Linked DNA regions of Diceros bicornis minor. The protein of the gene in region 3 interacts with the protein of the main gene of each other region in a pairwise test. Links are inferred from orthologs where the notes say so. Each region holds a gene or a part of one and is shown on either strand. Other genes may lie near its edges.

What was found.
Region 1: the proteins of melanoma-associated antigen 8-like (region 3) and BEX5 interact in binary tests that used the Homo sapiens proteins (3 or more experiments, as listed by UniProt). The link is inferred for Diceros bicornis minor from reciprocal best matches to the Homo sapiens genes MAGEA8 and BEX5.
Region 2: the proteins of melanoma-associated antigen 8-like (region 3) and GCA interact in binary tests that used the Homo sapiens proteins (3 or more experiments, as listed by UniProt). The link is inferred for Diceros bicornis minor from reciprocal best matches to the Homo sapiens genes MAGEA8 and GCA.

What each region holds. Positions count from the first base shown.
Region 1 is NC_080781.1:94,976,812-94,983,561, reverse strand, and holds BEX5 (protein BEX5), read right to left. Parts: upstream 2,530-6,750; 5' UTR 2,401-2,529; intron 1,621-2,400; 5' UTR 1,554-1,620; intron 1,111-1,553; 5' UTR 1,084-1,110; coding exon 742-1,083; 3' UTR 543-741; downstream 1-542.
Region 2 is NC_080749.1:44,656,171-44,664,161, reverse strand, and holds the start of GCA (grancalcin), read right to left. Parts: upstream 3,018-7,991; 5' UTR 2,940-3,017; coding exon 2,913-2,939; intron 1,114-2,912; exon of another isoform or gene 1,063-1,113; intron 1-1,062. UniProt on the Homo sapiens protein: Calcium-binding protein that may play a role in the adhesion of neutrophils to fibronectin. May play a role in the formation of focal adhesions.
Region 3 is NC_080781.1:135,204,878-135,211,996, reverse strand, and holds melanoma-associated antigen 8-like, read right to left. Parts: upstream 2,389-7,119; 5' UTR 2,297-2,388; intron 2,142-2,296; 5' UTR 2,071-2,141; intron 1,997-2,070; 5' UTR 1,933-1,996; coding exon 949-1,932; 3' UTR 514-948; downstream 1-513. UniProt on the Homo sapiens protein: Not known, though may play a role in embryonal development and tumor transformation or aspects of tumor progression.

The DNA.
Region 1 (6,750 bases), about 40 Mb from region 3:
CACATCCTTCTAGTTGCTGTATGTGGGACGCGGCCTCAGCATGGCCAGAGAAGCGGTGGGTCGGTACGCGCCGGGAATCCGAACCCTGGGCCGCCAGTAGTGGAGTGCGCACACTTAACTGCTAAGCTACAGGGCCGGCCCCTATCTTCATTTTTTAAGATGAATCGGCTGACTTTAAAGAAATGTATCTGTAATAATTACCAGGTTTGTGCTTCTAAATAAGAGATCCAGAGGTAATATAATTTATATGTCTTTAAATTGTGTCTCAAGTATAAATTGTGTCTCAAGTATTTATTAATTTTCTCCATTCCCTTTATAAACCGACTGGCAAGTTGTTTGCTTCTTACTTTTCTTTTGACACATATAATATGTGTGTACTCATTTTGGAAAAATGAGAAAAAACAGATAATCAAGAAAAAATAAAGAAAACAAAAAAACACATTCTGATGTATATATATAATATGCACACTACATTCAGATATATATAATATGCACACTTTTAAATGAGATAGTATATCTATAGACTAATTTTTAAACTGCTTTATTAACTTTACAATATATAATAAACATCTTTCCATGCAAGTTCATGAAACTCCCCTGCTGACAGAAAAACCTACAGACTAAGTCAAAATGAAATCTCCAATCAGAAAAGTGACACAACACCAAAGGTTCACGATAAAGAGTACACCAAGAAAATGCAAGTTTGGGAAGCAGAGGGTTTATAACTATTAACCTCAGCATTCAAGGCATAAGGCAAAACTCATCATGATGGTCATGGTGAGGGGGATCTCCTATAAGAATGCGCAGACTGTACCTCAGTTGAAGCTCCGTAATTTTCCTCCTTAGCTCTCTCATCTCCTCCATGAACCTTTCCATATCATCTGCATCTCCATCTATCATGTCAATGTTATTGACAAGCCTGTTGGGAATATCCTCTCTAAAATCCTGGGCAGGTGGAGCCCAACTCCCTCTAATATTTCCTCCAGGCTCCTGGCCTTGACCACCTCCCAAAGGGCGGGCTTCTTCTTCATTCTGCACTGGGGCCTGCCCCCCTCCTTTGCTTTCCTGGGGGACATTTTCCATGTTGAGATTTTTTCCTGCTTCTTCTTCCTAGAGATAAAAAGCAAGAAGAGGGATTGAATGTTCTGTAACAACAGGATTCAGAGTTCTGTTGGCAAAGGTTTTCCCATCTGAGAGACTTCGTGCGCCCTCCAGGGGGCGCCCCAGACCCAGCCCTGCCCCAAAGCCCACCATTTTCCCTGAAAGTACTTTCCCTAGGCCACTCCTCTCATCAAAACATAGGATGGGTAGTGGGCGGGCGGTGGTTGAGAGACCCAGGCCTCAGCTTCCAGGGATCCTGATAAGCCCTCCAGGGGCGCCCCAGAGCTTGCCCCTCTACTCCCTTCTTCCTCCACCAGCCATAGGCGCACAGTTTCTAAGGACTTCGCCAGCTTTGTGCTGTACTTAACTCAGGCAGGGAAGGCTGTGACTCCCCCAGATTCTGTCCTGATCCCTGATGTCCCTACACCAGAGAGCCCCCGGTAGCCCCCTACCTGCAGGGATCAGAAGCAATCTTCCTCTCTTAGCCTTGAAATCTGCTGCACCAACGGACCTAAAGACCTGCAGACAGAAATGCGACAATACCCAAGACTGATCACTCGATTAAAGGACCAGTACCCAGGGCACCAACTCCGTTGCTGATTTAGGATTCTGCTAGTCAAATGTTGCCACCTTCTCTTTCTCCTCTAGCCTGTCTCAGGGCTTCTTTTCCAGCCCTGTGATGCGCTACCCCGCCTTCCAGAAAGAGGCATTGTAATCAAAGACGATTTTTTCCAAATCAGTTTCACCTCTTCTTTAGGCCCCTTATCCTCACTGACCCGTCCCTTCTGTTGCCTAATTACCATTTCTTGAACGCAAATGGACAGTTTGCGGGGCGGGGAAGTCAGAAGAGCTTGCTGGGTGGCGATGTGGTTTATTTATGAAGAATTTCAATCTGGGTTTCCACCAGGACCTTTTGGGACCCAGTGGCCTTTCTCGAGCCCACCCTCCTTCCGTTGCCCACCATTTTATGCATCAAGATGGACGAAGGGCGAAGAGGTAGTGTGGGCATTGCAAACTTGGTCCTGCTGCGGTCTCAGCGCTTTGTCATGCTTACCCCAGGGTCTGCAAGCAGCACCCACCCTTATACCGGCCTGCAGGGACCAGAAACAGTTTCTCCCTGCCCACCTATATCCCTCATCCCTCAGTCAGAAGTCCGCCCGGTCGACTGCCCCCTCCGCAGAAGGGACCTGCTTCCCAGACCTAATCCCTGCCCCATCCTCTGCAGCAACCGCCCCTCACCCGGGTTCCCACAGCCCACCATTTCCGGCTCCAAAATGCACGAGGGTGGAGAAAAGATACCGGGAATGGAGGCGTGCGGTGTCCATTATCTCCAACCCAGGGTTACCGGTTTCGCCCCCCTCCTGCCGCCCTGCAGGAATCAGGCTGTTTCCTCGGCGTCCTCTTCTCTGGTCCTTCCCTTCCAGATGTCGCCTGATCGTCCACCTCCTAGGGGATCCCAACTGGTACTCATTCTCAACCCTTGGCCCCTCTCGGTCTCCTCCCATCAAGCCCTTCATTTCTTGCACCAAACGGGTGGGCATCGGGGAAGTGCTAGAGAGAATCCAATCCTGAACCCACTCTGGTCTTTGCCCTCTGCCACCCGCACCCCAGTCAGAGCCCGCTAACCTGCCATGGATCTGGGTCATCTTCTACGACTTCTTCCTTCCCTGGGCTACAGGCTCGCCCGCCTTCAAGGCAATAGCGAGCCGGCGCACAGCCACAAACAACCACTGGATCACAACTAGAAGGAGAGACTAATCCATAGGTTGGCTCTAGATCTCGTAAGGGCCATGTCACTGCGAGCTCAGATCCCCAATTCCGGTTCATACCTGCAGTGCGGCAGAAGAGTGGGAGGTGGGAGCGTGGGCGGGACCACCTTTCTCCTCATTCCCGCCCTCGCCCCACCACTACAACAGGCTACTGTCCACATCCCTTTTTTTTTTTTTGCTATTTAGCAATCTTCGAGACCAAACGGGTCATAATATTTTGTAGGTTGTATATGCCTTTTCCCTGATTTCTGCTGGAGCTTTTAAAGACTTGCTTCTTCCTGTTTTATATCATTAAATGCCCACTTCTCCCCACTCCACTCCCCAGCAAGTAAAGCCCAGAATTTCCCATAACAGTCTTGTAGGTCTTGTCCCAGAGTGCAACCGGGGCGGGAGAAGGGGGCGAGGTTAAGAAATCTGGAAAATAAGTAGGAAGTGACCTTTTTTTTCCTAACTTTCACCTTAATTATTTCCCTTTATGTTTAAGAGGGTGTATGTAATTGTTTTTTTGTTTCCCATCAGCATGCATTCATTTTTTTGCTTGCTATGACTAAATAATACAATTATTTCCAGTTGAAAAACAGGATTCGAGCTGTAAAAACTTGGCAACCTGTTTCTGCTGCTGAATCATCCTACAAATATAGACCCTCCAGATAACACCTCCTCTCCCTTTTAAGGACTTTGAAATATAAACCTAAGCTGGTGGTTCCCCTTGTGAAAGGGTCTCTTTGTGGTTTTTCCATGAGGTGAGATAGTGAGTCTAACAGAGTTTTGCTGGTGGAGTTTTAAATCTTGAGAGCTTGTAACAAACTTATGGTCTCCTCTAAATTATGTTAGTGCAACTTCACTTTACAATAAGACTCCAGCATGGCCTCTAAAATAGAGCAACACTGAGGTCTTCCAACAATTCAGAACAATAATTTTGGAAAGTTATGCTTACAGATAAAAAGTATTGTGAAGCTACAATATTAAAACAACATTATACCAGAATAAATATAGAATAAATGAAACAGAAGAGAAAGTCAATTGTCAAACACAAATATGGGGAAATATTAGTAATCTAATTGAAATATTTTGAATCAGTGGAGAGAGTTTAGACTATTGAAGAAATGATTATTGAAGAAATGGTGCTGAGGTAATTGATTAGCTATTTGGAAAAAAATGAAGTGCCTTATTCCGGTTTTAAACTTACTAACTCAATATTTAGATAAAAAGACATAAAACCATTGAAAATAGTATATAACGAATGTTATTTTGTATACAATCTTAGGATGAAAAAGTTTGTTCGTTAAACATGTAGCACCAGAGTGGCCGGCCCGGTGGCATAGTGGTTAAGTTGGCGCCCTCTGCTTCCATGGCCCGGGGTTCGCAGGTTCAGATCCTGGGCGGGGACTGATGCACTGCTTGTCAAGCCATGCTGTGGCAGGTGTCCCAAATAAAATAGAGGAAGATGGGCACAGATGTTAGCTCAGGGCTAATCTTCCTCAGCAAAAAAAGGAGGATTAGCAACAGATGTTAGCTCAAAGCCAGTCTTCCTCACACACACACACACAAAAGTAGCACCAGTGATAGACATGGCCAAAAGACAACTGGCCCAATCCTGTTGGGGACCCTCTAAGTCTAAGGAGCCATGTAGAATGCTCCTCAGAATTATCCCAATTCAACGACAGGAAATTGGAGTATTTATCCACAGACATGGGTTCTTTATTGGTGGATGTTACCCTGGGAATGTTAAAATCTCTGACGCTTCCAGGTTGTCTTAAGCCTGGACTGGACTGAGCAAGCTCACAAGGTGCCATAAACGGCCCTCAGTAAAATTAGAAAATACAGATAAGGTAGAAGGACAATATCAGCATTATCTCTGCCTCAATAAATATACTATTCACATTTTATTCTAAATCAGTCCAAATATTTCCCTTCAAAATAAAGAATGCACACACATCCATTCCGGTATTTATGAGCATTTGGGGTGTTTGTAGTTTTCACTATGAGGGACCATGTTGATTGAACTTCTTTGTACATAGATTTTTTTTATACTAACAGGAGGGTATTAAATTCCTAGAAATGTCCTAGCTGTATATGACTATGGATGCTTTTAATTGCCATAGAAATTGGCCTTGAAAAATGTTGTCCCAATTCGGCATCTATAATGTATGAGCATTCCTGTTTTCTCATGTGTCCACCAACACTGAGTATTACCTGGTTTATTGTATTTTTTTAAATTTTGTTTTATTTTATTTTTTGTTTCATTTTGTCCTTTTTAATTTATTTTTAAAAATTTGTTGTCAAGATCATCAAGTAATGTTTTCTAGACCTGCCACATTATAAAAGACACCTGAGATTAAGATTCCCAGACTCTTCTCTGAGGATTCTAGTTCAGTAGATTGGAGCAAGTTATGGGAACTTGCATTTAAGTTCCTTACACAATACTTAATATCAGGTAGGGTTGGCAATCTGTGTCATAGGCAAAAAAACCAAAATGAAACAAAAAAAGACCCCCACTGTTATTTAAGTGGTCTTTTAAAAAAACATTACTATGAAATAATTTCAAAGTTATAAAATGATTTTGAAGATACTACAAAGAGCCCCCACATGCCCTTCACTATATTCCCCAGTTAATATTTTGCTACATTTGCTTTATCATTCTCTCTTTATGTTGAAGGGCACATTATTATTTCCTGAACCATTGAGTCAATTGAAGACTAAATGGTCATTTAAAAATATTTATTTCAGAGTGACATCAGCATCATGGTGGACTGAGCTTTCTTGTAAACTCTTCCCCCAATAAGATACAACATAAGGGACATTCATAGACCAACAAGGGACACTCACACAGCACAAAGGGACATCAGAAAGACCCACACTGTCACACATCTGAGAGCGGATGTGCTGGGGCCCCTGGAGGAAGTGGGGAGAGGTAGGGAGAAATCCTCTCCCTCCCCATCAGATCAGTGATTCGGGCCTGCATGGCTCCCAGAGAGCAGGGAGAGGAGGCCCTCTGCGGGGAAACCATAGCTCTTTGGCCTCTCTCAACCATTGGGAAACTCACATACAGAGGGTTCAGATGCTGCAGGGGTGCCATCAACATTTGAGAACCCCAAGAGAGCAGATAACAAAGGGCGAGCAAGAAGCCCCCTCCCAGGGACCTGGCAGGCAAAAGAGAGAGCCACTCCCCCCTGCATGCCCAACAGTGCAGCTCAGCCGACCAGTCAGAGCAGCCACAGCAGAGTGCAGGCAGCCCCGGTGGAGCAGCTATGGCGGAGCAGCCTTGGTGGAGCACAGGAGGCTCAGATTACACAGCCCTTGAGCCCCACATAGTGGCAGCAGGTGGAAACTGTAACCAGATATTTCCAGGATGAGGAAAAACAAAACGAATACAGCAAGCACGATGTAAAAGTACATGAAATCACCAGACCAGAAGGAAAATGGCAAGGAACCAGAAATCAACACTGAAGGCACAGAAATCCATAACCTAAATGACAGAGAATTCAAAATAGCTATCATAAAAAAGCTCAGTGAAATACAAGAAAACACAGGTAAATAATTCAATGAGATAAGGAGTTTCTTCACAAAAGAGATTGAAATCATAAAGAAAAACCAATCAGTATTGATGGAAATGAAGAAAACAATGGAAGAGATAAAGGAGAACATGGAATCTTTAGAGAACAGAGCTGACAATATGGAGGAAAGAATTAGCATTATAGAGGATAGGAAATACAGATATACTCCAGATGGAGGAGGAGAGAGAACTGAGACTAAAAAGAAATGAAGAAAGTCTCCAAAAATATCCGACTCAATTAGGAAATGTAACATAAGAATTATAGGTATTCCTGAGGGAGAAGAGAGGGAAAGAGGAACAGAGAGCCTATTCAAGAAAATAGCT
Region 2 (7,991 bases), on a different chromosome or scaffold from region 3:
AGATTAAAGACGGTTGGAAATTCTTTGCCACTTCTCCCATGCAAAGGCAAAGACTATTTCTCCACTCCCTCGAACCTGGGCTGGGCCTATTTCAGCTTCATCTGGTAGAATGGAGTAGAAATTGCACCATGTCCGTTCCAGGCTTAAGACTGTAAGAGGATGGCAGCTTCTGTTTCTCTCTCTCATAGAACACGGCCAGCACAAAGCCCAAGACCCATGCAGAAGGGCCCATGCGAAGGGGAACTGGGGCCTCCGGCCAACAAGGTTAACCTCTAAAAATAGTTTATATAAAGTCATATTTCAGGTTGTCTTCTTGATAGTTTCAAATGAGTCAAAACTGATCATTAGATCATCATTGTTATTACCTGGTGATGTGACTAAAGAAAAGCTTGGACTTAAAAAGTATCAGTGATGTCATTTTCATGTTGTTTTGCACATTTTTAAATCTTTAGTATTACCTTCGATCCCCAGTTTCTTCCCAGAAATTTTCAAACTACTTGTCCATTTTGTGAGGGTTATTTTAAACTAGATCATCTAATCTGTAACCCCAGAGAACTCTGCACATATAAACTGTAATAAGTCACCATAGGCTGAAAGGAAACGAGAAGCCAATGTACGAATTCCACTTCATCCCTCAGGATACCATCTGTACCTAGGTCAGTGTTCTTCAAACACTTTGCTTCCCTATCCCTAAAAATTTTTTTTACATTATATACCTTTCCTCGTATTTTATGTTGACATATGAAGTTTTTATCTAAAGTTGGAACAGTTATAAAAAATGCAATGCCCAACATACTGTAAATCTTGACATTTACAAATAAACTTTTACATCACTCTTTGGAAAGCATCCTCTGTTATCTACACACTATAATGATCTGATACCTGCTCCCATCCATTTTGGAAAAGGCTCTTCTGTAACATTTAGAAATTTTACATTTTTCCTTTTACTATTTGAACTCATCTTTTATTCTATTTCTCCCATGAATATCTCATCCGTGTAAGTTTTTTATGCTTAAAATGTATTTTTATGTTTGAAAATACTGATCACTTTGTCATACTTACCTAAAATAAAACTATGTATAAAAATTGAAATTTTGAATTTTGTTTCATTTCCTGTGGCCATGAGAAACAGAGAAAAAAATTCTCCTTAGATTATAATTTTTATTAGTACACAATAAGTAAATATATATATATTACAATTTTGATAAACAATTATTAAACAAGAAAGACAAAATTTATTGGAAATGCATTTCCTAATGAGATGAATCATGCACTTCATTAGATAAAAGTATACTATAAAAATAAATAGGTCCATCAGCTAACATATTTTATATTTTGTTAAAAGAACCTAGGAAACATTAATAAGAGGCAGATTGACTATAATTAATATGATTTATAAAACAGTTCTAAGTACCTCATGAATATACTCCTAGTAAAGAAATCATATGTTTTATTTGTAAATTTTATCCAATACATCTGAAAATATTTCCATTACATTTAAAAGAATCAGTCTCACTAATCTATATGCTTCAGCTGTTTGAGGGTACTCTTCCTTCCAGCTATTTACTAATGATGAGCATGAGAACAGCTGAAAAGAGCTGCTACATTTAAATAAATGGTAAAGGGTATTTAAATGTTCACAACACATACAGGCCTTCTCTTTGCTGTCGTGGAAGTCGCCATCAGATACAAGCACTCTGACAAAAATGTGGGTAAAGAAGTAGCAACTTCTTCAAATGAAAAATTGTTACTCGCACCACCCCATTCTACCACCTATATGACTTCAGAACATAAAACAGTTATAAAAATACTTACTTTCTAACAGCAAGCTTCACCCTAGTGAAAATATGTAGAAGATAGGGAAATTTTAAAAGCCCCTTGGGTTTATGCTACCTTGACTAGTCTTTGAGGGAGGGTTTATCTTCCTTAGGCATCTTAAACTTCCTTAGTAAGTTTAAGGACTGATGAGGGGTAGACTTTGTAAAGTGGAAGACTCCAGGGGAAACTCTGGCAAGTTTTCAAGCAAACAATTTTAGGACCGAGTATGTGTGGATGTTGAGGGTCTGGAAATTCATTCTCTTAAAAAAAAAATTCCCAAGTACTCCCAAGGCTCTGAGTAACTCTTTGAAGACCACTGCCATATGACAGTGTTAAGTCCTATATTAAATATTAGTGAAGTTCAATTTTTCTTTCTAGGTATAAACAAATAGAAATAAAAATAGAAAATATATTATTTTCTACCCACACCCCCAATGGATCATCCCGCACGCCCATTTTGTAAACAAACTGGGCTCATCGCACTTTGGAGATCACTGACATAAATACTGACGGTTTGGGCTCTTTTCTAAGAAGAAAAAGCAAGCCACTACGATACTACAATTACGACTTCCACCTCTCAAAGGTGATGCAGATAAACAGTTATGTAAGGAAGAATAATCCTCCCCACCTCCCCAAAACAGTCTAGAACAGACTGCCCTTGGTAGAACAGTAAAGATAAGGAGACATTTAGCATATCTTAATTTATTCGTATGTAACTTAAAGGACAGAAAACAAGAAGTGGTCAAAAATTCTGAAAGAGGATCTCTAGCAAAACGGAGCGGGGGCTGGGGGGAGTGGACCACAAAACATTACTGGAACAAGAAAAAAGTGTTTGTTCCTCCATTCCAGGAAAGAAATTTTTAAAAGCGCACCACACCCTTGGCTCCACAAGGACGCGCGGAAGGGGCCTCAGGGACCAGAACACCTGAGGCTCCCGGCTCGGCCCCGACCCGGCTTCCAGCACCGCGCGGAGCGCCGGCGCCGCCGGGTACCAGAGGCCAGCGAGGGAAGCAGGGACCTGGCATGCTGGCACCGCCGGTAGGGGCGCCACTCCCTGAGGGGGCGGAGGCCGCGGCGCAGTGTTCGGGACTCACCCCTCCTCCGTATCCCGGGTAGGCCATGACGAGCCGAGCGAGCTCCCGTCACCCTTCGAGTCCGCGTCTGCCCTGCTGGGAGAAAGGCGCAGGCGCAGGCGCTTTTGCAAGTGCGGCTGAAAGCACGCTTGCCGCACGGTTCACTTCCCCGAGACCGCCCTCTCCAGCAGTCCGGCCCCGCCCTGCTCGGTTCCTATTGGCTGAGTCTCGCCCTTAGAGGCCCACACTGCCGTAGGCCACCCCTTCCCGGAGTCTAGTCCCACCCATCTCGTCTCTGATTGGCTTTACGCGCCCAACCCCTTCTTGCTCGGCTCCTATTGGCTCGCTCAGGTCTCGCGCTCTCTCCTCACGAAACCGCGAAAAAGCCTTTGCCGCGGTAATTTCCACCCTCTTTGGAAAGGCCTTGCAAGCCAAGGTTTCTTTTCTCCTTTTAGAAACCTGAAACTGCCCAGCCATGAATTCCTTTAACCTACCCCTCTGCTCTTTTGAGCTGGACTTCCAAATACACATCTATAAATTTCAAAACTTGCAGAGTTACTTTTTGTTTTTGCACGGCGTTGATGTCACATCATCAAAACTGAAACCTTGACCTCTGCCCCCAGGAGAGTGCTTCTGAGCCAAATAAAACCTACTTGACGCTAAATTTTACCGAAAGGTTATTTGTGGTTTGTTTGGTAAATAAATGGTGTCTAGAGTAGCCAGGTTTAGCAAATAAAAGTACAGGATGTCCAATTAAATTTCATTTTCAAATGAACAATGCATTTTTTTTTAATATAAGCATGTCTCAAATATAGCAGGAGACATGCACTTGCTAAAAAATGATTCTCTATTTATACGCTGATAATATACAGGAGTCCTGAATCACCCTGCTGATGATTCAACCTTTGGGCAAACTCTTAAGATGTGCCTCCTGATTATACTCACGGAGAAGAACAGCTTGGTTTTTATCACTCGATGGAAAGTTAAATGCTCAGTTTTTTTGATTTATTAAGTAATAGTAATTGAGTAAATAAGTAGTTCTGCTTTTCTCTAGAACTCAAATGAATTTTGTAGCATCAGCTTTAAAAAGACAGGACACAGACACACACACCCCAAAGGGTAGGAGAGTTGTAACTTTAGTTTAAAGAGACCAGGATGATATTATTTTGAGTTATCTCTGAAGAGTACAACAACCATTAAAACATTTTTAAAAAATAAAGATGTGGGAAAAAAGTGTTAACCACCTATTTGCAGAGGAAATCAACCTTGCAAAGCTGAGTAACTATTGCTCAGCTACCTTACAGAAGAACATGTTGAACCTTGTGAAACCTAATTTTATCAGGAAGAGGCAGAGAAAAAGGAAGATTGCTAACATACAAGCCACTCTTGAGAAAATGTGTGTTAGTTCCTCTAACACGATAAGAAATACCTTAGCCAATAAGGTTAAATTATTGGCATAAATGAATAAATGGAGGGTGATGGTAAAACCTACTTGATAAGAGGAAAGAATATATGACTCATTAAAGCATCAAGGGATAAAGGATTACACAGCAAAACAAATTGTTGCAAAGTTTTATTCTAATTGATTAACTATATATTCAAAGAAATTCTCAGAGAGGATTGAGAGTTTTACATTTAGAATGTTAGTCTAAATCTCTGGTCAGAATTTTTGTGCATCTTCCATTCATCATAATAGCCTTACTGATGCATTACATTTGTGTTTGTTGGAAGTCAAGTCTCTATGAGTCTTTTGCATTTTTACACATATAGTTTCAAAGATAGCGATAGTATTTCCCTCAAGGGCAGAGAGAAGATTTGTTGCAGGATAACAAAAAAAATCTCTCGCTCCAGGGCAAAGTTTGGGTAGGTTTGCTAGCAGGACTTTCATAAGCTCAGAGTTCCTTGTTCTGATACAAACCCACTGCTTGTGCAGCACCTGCCTAGTGGCTCCATTTCTCTCTGTGGGACTTGGGAACAAGGGGAATCAATGAGAGCCTGAAGCTCATGCTGCCTGTTGTGCTGTGAATAATAAAGTTCTTTGTCTCTGACAGATGAATCTCATTCCTTCTGTCAACCTCTATGAAACTGTGGCAGGATACTTGTTAGCATGCAAGTAGGATAAAATATCAGATCCTTCACAGTTCTTAGCAATGTATCTCTTTCTGAGAGAGCTACCCAGGGAAGTTCCTACTGAAGAGTAGCAGAATATGCCACCCCAAAATATGTCACTTTGCATAAAGATTATTTGAACTGAAGGCAATTGAGAAGCAGATACAAGAAAAGCTCTCTGCTCTCCCTCTATTTGCCTAAAAGCAAGACATAAATTTACAAGTCCCTCCAACCCTCTCTACCAGGAAGGACAAAGATTAATACTCTGAGACAACTTTAGACCCTTATTAATGGAGAAGGCAGGGACTTAAATCTGCATAACAAAGCTTACATTTGTTTATCCTGCTTTTCCAGGTAACCTCCCCATAGCTAGTCTCCCCCATACCTTTCTTTCTTTCCTCTTTATCTGAAGATGGTATTTAAGCTGGAATTCAAAGCCACCTCTGAGAGTTACTCATTTTTCCCTGGGTATTTCCCATGCATGCACGAGAACACATGATAGTAAACTTCTGGGTTTTTTCTCTTGTGAATCTGTTTTTTATCACAGGTCTCTCAGCCAAGAACTTAGATGGTAAAGGGAAAATTATTTTACCTCCTGTACACTACCATATGAGATACAGAGAGAACTTTCAGCACCACAGTCTGCAGCGTTTCTCCCTCTCTAAACCTAGTATTTCAAATTATAAATTATATATAAAAAATATAGGAATTTAAAAGTTAAAAGGAGCCTATAAAGAGATTTTTTTAATAATAGTAATGAAAATTTGCTTCCATAATTAAGTATTGTATGAATAATATCATTTTTTTTCCTCCCCAAAATCCCAGTACACAGTTGTACATTCTAGTTGTAGATCCTCCTAATTCTTTTATGTGAGCCTCTGCCACAGCATGGCTACTGACAGACAAGTGGTGTCGTTCCGCGCCCAGGAACCAAACCTGGGCCACATAAGTGGAGTGCACCGAACTTTAACCACTAGGCCATCAGGGCTGGCTCTGAACAATATCATTTTATGAAAATGTATTGTATAAAAAACAATTTTAAATTATATATTTTTCTTTTCATAAAATACTCCATAATTCTATAAAAATAGCTATTTATAGAGTGAATCCTATGTAACAGGCACTGTATGTTGTAAGGTGTTATTCCTCAAAACAACTCTATCATATATATACTATTATTATCTTCATTTTACAAATGTGAAAAGTAAGGTGGAGAGTTATATGTCACTTACCCATAGTTGCAGAGTTAGTAGCAAAGCTGAGATTAGAACCCAGGCAGTTTGGCTGCAGAATGTGGTCTCTTAAACAATGCATTTCCCCTTCTTCCCACCCCTAACCACAGGATTTCAAAGCATAATAAAAATTATTTACACTGTAAGAGGAAAGGGTTTAAGAAGTAGAAAAATTGCACACCAATAACTAGAGAAATAGACAAGAAATGCATGGTTTTGAGTAGGATTAGCCAATCTAGTTACTTATCTTACATAGGATACATGCTTTCTGGTGACCATAAAGCTTTCATGATTATGTCTACTTATGGTATTTCTTCTAAATCTTGGAGGCCTTTGGTCTTCTCATAAATTTAGATATTCAATTAACCAGTACATTTACCTAAACACTAAATTAATTATGTTTCCCTTTCCTATCTGTTGCCACCTCATTTTCTCTCTCCGTCTATATGAATAGGGGGGTGGGGGGGTGGGGAGATAGGAACATGAAAAAGAAGAGTAAAAGTCTTACTGCTCCTCAGCAAACTTCAGTTCCAGAGCCAGAGCCTTCCTCTCTCATAGAAATCATTTATATGCCAAATACTATAAAAAGACATACCAGCTAATAAAAGACATCAGTGGAGCTTATTTTATATCACTAAGAAATTTCACTTACAAAGAGTAATTCATTTATTCAACAAATATTTATTGAGCATCTATAAAGTAGCGCTAGTTTAGACAGAAAAAATTGCACCAAGATGGGGAGGGATATTCTTGTCCTTCTGGAATTTATATTCTATCAGGGAGAAAAGTCAATAAGTAAAGATAATAAAATATATAGTATATTAGAAGATGATAAATGCTGTGGAACAAAAGGAAAACAGAAGCAGGGCTAGGGAGGTAACAGAGTAGGTTGTAGTACTAAATGGGAGGCTCAAAGTAGCCTCATTAAAAAGGTGAGGTTTGAGCAAAGACTTATAGTTCATGAATGAGTTGGACAAGTAGTTATATGTAGGAAGAATATTCCAGGTAGAACTAGAGCTATGGTCCTAAGGCAGAAGGCTGCTGACCTGTTTAAAGAACAGCAAGGAGGCCAGTGAGTCTGGTGTGGATTGAGCAAGAGGGAAAGTCGTAAGCGTGGTTACAAAGCAGGGCCATTGGGGCAGATCATGTGGGCCTTTACAGGCCATTGTAAGGACTCTCTTTTATACTCTGGGTATAAGGTGAGATGAGAAGTCACTGAAGGATTTGGAGCCTTAGGGGGACGTGATATGACCTAATTTTTAAAGGATCACTCTTTCAGCTGTGTTGACAATAGACTGAAGGGGGTTGGTGTAGAAGCAAGGAGATCTGTGAGCAATCTGTTGGTAATTTAGAGAGGATGGTGACTTACCAGGGTGTAGCAGTTGAGATGGTGAGAAGCAGTGAGATTATTTTCTATTTTTAAGATAGAGCCCTCAGGATTTACTGATGTTTTGGATTTTCCCATTAATGACGTAGTGACAAAGATTCTCTCCTTGACCAAACTCTAGTCAGGTTCTTCTGAGCCCTCTGCCTGACTAGGCCTTAATCCTGGCCTATAAAGCCTTGAACAAATATTAACATAGTTTCTGACAGCTCAAGGCAGCATCCCTAGGATGACCCTAGCCCTCCTTAAAGTGCCTACCTGAGAAAACTCAAGGCTGCCAAAAGAATTTACTATTTGTTCCAGCCAACACCTGAAGACAGGGCCCCTGTCTCCCAGTCTCTGTGGGCGGGTAGGAGCCTAACTTCAGTAAGCACC
Region 3 (7,119 bases):
AAAGAAACTTTTCAGATCAATTTTCCACTTCAGACTTTCCTCTCAGCCCTAAGACACACAGTCTGTGAGTCTGGCCGCTGCCAACACCCAGCTTCATTATAATCAACTCCCACAGAAGGAATCGCAGTTTCCCAAAGTCCCACACTGCCCTAGCTCGGGGCATTTACTTGAGTGCTCTCCCCTGGGGCCGCACCACCGCTCACCTTCTTCTTCTGTTCTGGACGGGACACTACACCACCTTCCTTCTAGGACTGGGGCTCCTAGACTCTCAGTCTGTGGGTGGGGGGCGTCCTCCTTACCCTCCTTTCCTGACTACTAACACAGGGCCTTCCAGAGAGCAGAGGCTCAGCAAAAGTCTGGGGAAGAAACGAGCCAGTGAGCAGGGGTCTTATTTACTCAGATGAAATTACTCCAACTTTCTTGAATTACCCAAGTGAATCTGGGTATACACATACCTTTTAGCTTGACAGAACGACAGAAGAGAGCAGATAAGAAGCCAAGAATTAAGTACCTTCTACATTTATTTTTCTATTTCCCGACCCCATCAATTTGACTGCTAAGTTATTTCACATTTTCTAGTTCAGATCACAGACTACGATGGACGATGTCCCAATGACTTTTACAAAACAGCAAAACTCTTCCTCTTGGACGGGATAAGTACAAATTCATATGTGGTCAATGTCATTCGCAAACAGATGCTGAAGCTAATTAAACCTTCTGTTAAAGGGAACCCATTTGAAAAATTCGTAAGGAAACCAAGATCCATCATAGAGAACAGGAACCCAAAGACACTAGCCACCATGTCCCCCCACCTCGCCGTGGCCCTCCTCTACTTAGGACGCTGACTGCTCTCTCTTCAAACACAGAGTGAAGAAGCAGCCTCACTTCATGCCCGGCAGGAGAAGCTGCTGGACGTGGGCGTGGACCGTGCATGGGTGCAACTCTGGCTCAGGCCCCCTCTTCCTCATCGCTCACAGCCTCTTCAGACAGGTGGAGGAAGGAACCAGGATCCTTGCTATGGACTCTGAGCAAATACTCCAGGACTTTCATTTTGCTGGTTTCAGCGTGGGCCCTGGGACCCCACAGGAACTCGTAGCGTGCAGGATCGCTGTCGGGCACCTGCCGGTACTCCACGTACTGTTCCTGCACCCAAACTTTGGTGAGGAGCTCCCTGGGCTCCCCGTAGATGAAGTGCTCCATCCCGGCACACACTCCCATGACACTCAGCGCTTCCCAGACATCCTCCTCAGGGGCGCAGTCGCCCTCCAGGAGGATCACGCCCAGGAGCAGCACCAGGAGGCCGGTCTTGGGCATGCTCTGCTCACCGCTCAGCATCCCATCGTAGGTGAGGCCCAGGGTGGTGACCAGGACATAGGAGTGGTCGCTGGGGTCCACTTCCTTCACGTCAACGCCAAAGACCAGCTGCATGCACTCAGAGGCTTGGCTGAAGATCACAGGGAAGTGGTCCTGGTGATCTCTGATGACCAGATTCAGCATTTCCGCCTTTGTGGTCGGCTCCTTTGTACGATACTTCAGAAGCAGGAACGCCACCAGGTCAGCCATCTTCAAGTGTAGTGCTTCTTGGAGCGAGGACTCGGCGTCTTCCGGGTCCTCCCAGGCGCTTGGCCCCTCCTCATCCTGGCTGCTGGAGCCATCGCCTTCGGATTGGCTCCACGGAGCAGCTGCCGTGGCAGTGGGGGAGGGCCAGGCACTCTGAGGGCTCTGGGGAGGACTCGGGGTTGCAGCAGCAGCCACCTCCTCCAGGGTGCCCAGGAACAGGACAGACGGGGAGGAGGAGAGGGAGGAGGAGGGAGATGTGTCCTCCTCCTCCTCAGTCCCGGACAGCTGCGCATCCACCAGACCCTGGGCCTCTCTTGGGTCCTGATGGTCTTGCTCACACTTGTAGTGCTCACTCATCTGACCTAGAGGCATGATGATGCGTGTCTGGCAGCCGGCAGGAGCGTGGGCAGGACGTGACCGATGGGGACCCACAGGCCTGGGGGAGAGAGGGAGTGTGAGTGGACTCAGCTGAGAAACGCAGCCTCGGTGGCTCTGACAAAGATGACTTACAGGTCTCCTCTTTAGGGATGCTCTCGGCTTCACAGGGCTCTGTCCTCCTGGGCGGCCTGTGCCCTATGAACCTGAAGGAGGAAGTGAGACGGCTCCTCAGGGTGCACCCAGCACAGCCTGAGGTTCTAAGGACGACAGTGGGGTGGGGTGGGCTCGGGCGCTGTGGGGTCTCCTTGGTTTCGGCATGGGGGAGACCCTGGGTACACGTTCAGGGTGTGTATCTCACCTTGACTCCTGGCGCTGCCTGGGCCTCCTCTGCTCTGTGACCTGAGGACAAGAGCCTCAGACCAAGGGCTTCACCTGCGGGTTCCTAGAGCCCCTGTAAGAGGAAACGAGGGGCCACCTCAGGGTGCAGACTGTAAGCAGAGACCTGGGCCCCCAGTGCTGACAGGAGGGGCTGGCCGGACTCTGTGAGGTCCCCACTGTTCTTGGGTGGGTGGTCCCCTCCGTGCTCACTCAGGGTCCTCACCTTCCCCTGGCAGCCCCTGGGCCCCACTCCTCTGCTGCCCTGAGGCAAAACTCTCAGAACACCACCACACACCCCTGAGACTGAACAGAAGGAAGTGAGGGGGCGCCACATCAGGCCACACCTGCCCAGGGGCTAACAGGAGGCACCAAGGGACAATAAGGTGTGGCCAAACTCGGTGGGTTCCACGTGTCCTGGGATTGGTGGTCCGCCCAGTCTTCACCTTGACACCCTCAGGGCCTGGGACAATTCCCTCTGTTAACCTGAGGCCACCCTCCTTAGGCAAAGGCCTCGTCTCCTGAAGACACAGGAAGAGGAAGTGAGGGGGAATCAATCCACCCCCTGATCCCGGGTCTCACCATGGCAGACAGAAGGGTAGAGGAGGCCTGGGCTCCATGTGTCCTGCTGAGTGTGTGGGTGGGGGTCCCCTCAGTCCTCACCGTGACCCCTGCCAGGGCCTGGGATCCTGCCTCAGCTGACCTGAGAACAGAGCCTCAGACCAAGGCCCTCACCTTCCCGAGACCACTGGTCTGGAAGTGAGGAGGGGCTCAGCCAGACAGGCCCTGCTGGGGGGTTTCCAGGGCTGACATTAGCGGCAGGCCAGATTTCTGAGGGGCCCCCTCTTTGTCCTTGGGATTGGGGTACACTCACTGTGCCCTCGGGGTCCTCACCTTGACTCTTGGTGAGAACTGGGACTCTTCTCTCAGCTGACCAGATGTGCTTCCTCAGATGACCTGACGTCGTCCTCTCAGACCAAGGTCCTCACCTGCCTGAGGGCTCTGAGAGAAACGGGAGGAGGCACCACATCCACGCCCACCCCCCACCCCCCACATCCCCCCACATCCCCTACCAGGATCACAAAAGGCTGGCAGAGGGGACCAGCCCTTCTGTCCTGGGTGGGGGTTCCCTCAGACCTCCTGTAGGTTATTCGTCTTTTCTCCTGCCAGGGCCTGCTCTTCTTCCCGGCCCCCCACCTGGATAGCTGACATCTCCCTCTGAGCAAGACCTCTCCTCCCTGAGGACTCCCCACATTCCCACCCATGGTAGAAGTGAGCATGCCATTGAGGACCACCGCTGACTCTTCCTTCCAGGGCTGAGAACAGCGGACAGCAGGACTCTGTGCCGGCCTTTCTTTTCTGAGGTGAGGGGGGTACGTTCAGTCCTCATGAAGGGTCCTCACCTTGACACCTGACAGATCCTGGGACTCCTCCCTCTGCTGACCTGATGTCACCACTCAGACCAAGGCCTCACCTCCCTGAGATGCCCCATCCCCAACCACGTGGCAGAAGTCAGAGCAGGGTACATCCAGCCATCCTTGTCCGGGGCCTCCCGGGGCTGAGAATAGGGGAAGCTGGCCTCTGTAAGGTCCCTTCTCTATTGGGGTGGGGGGAACCTCCATGCCCTCTGTTCCTCCCAAAGGGTCTTGTCTTGAGTCCTGGCAGATCCTGGGACTCCTTCCTCTGCTGACCAGATGTGGCTGCCTCTGCTCACCTGACACTGTCCCTCAGAACAAGGCCTCACCTCTCAGAGAGCCCGAGGCAGAGGTGAGTGAGGATGCACCACCTGCGGCCACCCCTGCCGGGGGTCTGCAGGGGTGACTTGGGGCAGGGCTGATTTCAGTGAGGTCCTCCTCTGGCTGTGGAGGGAGTCCCCTCAGTGTCCTCAAGGTATTCATACTTACTCCTGGCCAGGCCTGGAACCATCCCTTCTGCTAACCTGAGGATGTGTCCTGCAGGCCAAGGCCACCATCCCGCTGAGACCCCGAGGAGCAAGTGGACAGGCCACTCTCCTGACATCCTACCTGGCCTCCAGGGACAGACCACGGGGCAGATTTCTGTTGGGGTCGCCTATGTCTAGGCTGGGGGTCTGCTCAGTCCTCCCTGGGGGTCCGGGGACTCCACCCTCTGCTGACCTGAAGCCACATTCCTCACCTCCCTAAAACCCCCGAGGCAGAAGGCAGCAAATGCCTCCTCGGGTCATCCTGCCCTGGGGCCTCCCCAGACCAGCACAGGGCCACAGGATCCCTGTCTGTCCTGGGGTCCAGAGTCCCTCAGGCCTCCCTCGGCATCTCCCCCTGACTTCCAGCAGGCCCTGGGCCATCCCCTCTGCCCCCCTCAGGCCCTGCTCCCTTGACCAAGTCCCCGGTCTCTCTCAGTCCCGGATGCGGAAGTTGGAAATGCAGCCTGTGCTCACGGCGCTCTGGCGCCTCCCGGGGCTGCCTGCAGGGCCGTGTTTCTGTGGAGTCCCCTCTGTCCTCCCTCAGGGTCCTCCCCTTGAGCCCTGGCAGGTCCTGGGATCCTCCCTCTGTGGATCCGAGGCCTTCACTGGCCGGAGAGCCCTGGGGGAAGTCTGTGGAGGTCACCTCAGGCCACTAAGCACGGGGACGCCCAGGGCTGACGGCAGGGGCCGACAGGGATTGCCTGGGGCTCCTCGGCCCTCCCTCTGCTCCTCTCCTGAGCTCCCAGCAGGGCCTGGGCCCCGGCCTCTGCCCCCTGAGGCTGCTCCCCGCAGACCCAGGACTCCCCAGCAGGCTCCTCTGAAGACGAGGTGGGGGCGGGGAACTCTGCCTGACCACCCTGCCCCCTCCCCTTCCCCCAGGGTCCCTCAGGGCTGATGGCAGGAGCAGACCTGGACGCCGTGGGGCCTGGAGTCCTCCCTCCCGGGGCTACCTGGACGCCTGGCCGGGCCTGGGCTCCTTCCCTCTGCCGCCCCGGATCCGGCCCGCCACCGCGAGGCCCTCGGCTCCCTCAGACCTCCGAGGCGGAAGCCAGAGGACGTCACATCCGGACGCCATGGCCCGGGGTCTCCCAGTGCTGACGGCAGGGGTGAGAGTGGTCTGGACGTTCCCTCGGCCCCGCCCTCCTCTCCTCACCCTACTCTGCCCGGCCTGGGCCTCTAGCCCTCTGCCCCCCTGGATCTGCACCCCTCACTCTCAGCTCTGACGCCCCTGGTTGTCTGAGGAGGGGGACGTGGGAGAGCGCTCTGCTGACAGCGCTGCCGGGGGTCCCCCAGAATGCACAGCAGGGGCCGAGGGGGGTTCTGTGGGACCCTGTGTTCTGGGGCCGGGGGTGTCCTCCGTCCTCCCTCGGGAGGGTCCTCGTCCACCCTGGCCGAGATGGCCTGCTGTCCCAGGGGAGGTGCTGGGTGGGGGCTGCTGCGCCCAGGGCTGTGGGGGAGGTCAGAGAAGAAGCCACCCTTCCCGTGGGGTCTCACCAGCCAGCTAGACACCGCGAACTGTTTCTTTTCTGGATTTCATTTGTCCTGAAGAGGCTGAGCAGCTGCAGGGGCTTCCCGGGATGGTCGTCCGGGTCTATGGTGACCTCACGTTGCGTGGTTGAGTGCAGGGATTTTCACTTTTTAATCTTCCTTCCTAGTAAGAAATACATTGTATGTCTCTGCCCTCTGTCCTGTATCTGTATCTATAACATATGTAGCTTATGTGTGTGTATAGACACGTATGTGTCCATACCACGTGAATATGCAGATAAATGTGTACACATTCATGTATGTTTCTATTAGTCTTTATAGATACATGTAGACTATATATATATATGTGTATACTTCTTTTATGAAAGAATACCTTCTTTTTCTCTATGTAATTAGCACCTATACTTGATATTCTGTTCTTTTGTTTTTTTTTTGCTGGGAATGATTCACCCTGAGCTATCATCTGTTGCCAATATTCCGCCCCCCTCCCCTGCAAGGCCCCAGTAGATAGTTGTATATTCTAGTTGTAGGTCCTTCTAGTTCTTTTATGTGAGCCTCTGCCACAGCACGGCTCCTGAGAGACGAGTGGTGTGGTTTCAGTGCCTGGGAACAGAACTCTGGCCACTGAAGCAGAGTGCACTGACCTTTAACCACTAGGTGGTCAGGGCTGGCTCACTATTCTGTTTCTTGTCTGTTCTCTGTATTCTATTAAAATGAGAATCTTTTGAAAGGCTAGTCCTCACCCACTAAGATAGTTTCAGGTGGTTATTAGCACAGACTCAGGAGTCAAATGCCTCAATCAACCCATCTTTCCTGCTGTCCTGGTTTTGCCCCAGGGCCACTGGCATGTGTGGTCTGAGGGCCTGCTTCAGATGTGTGCAGTGAAGGAGGAGCAGAAGTTTGAAAACTTTCCTCCTACCCATCCTGTCATCTGCATCTATGCAGCCTACTACCCTCCCAAATTGGCTGCCACTGCCCATGCCCCCACCCCAAACACAAGTACTGGGCTCACCATAGTCTTCAGTCTCCCCCAGGGCTTTCTCCTGTTTTGTTCTTTAGATATTGTTGTTCATATTGTGTGTTGTTTTTGAAGCCTTTATTTTTTTTTAGAGCCTCTTAGGTGCCCAGAAAAATAAGGAGGAAGGTACAGAGATTTCCCATTTCCCCCCTGCCCCTACACATGTATAGCCTCCCCTATTGTCAACAACCCCCACCAGAAAGGAACATTTCTTATAATAGATGAATCTACATTGACACATTGTATCCCCCCATCTCCATTGTTTACATTAAGGTTCACACTTGGATTTGTACGTTCTATGGGTTTGGACAAATGTATAATGACATGTATCAATTGTTTGAGTGTCATCCAGAGGAGT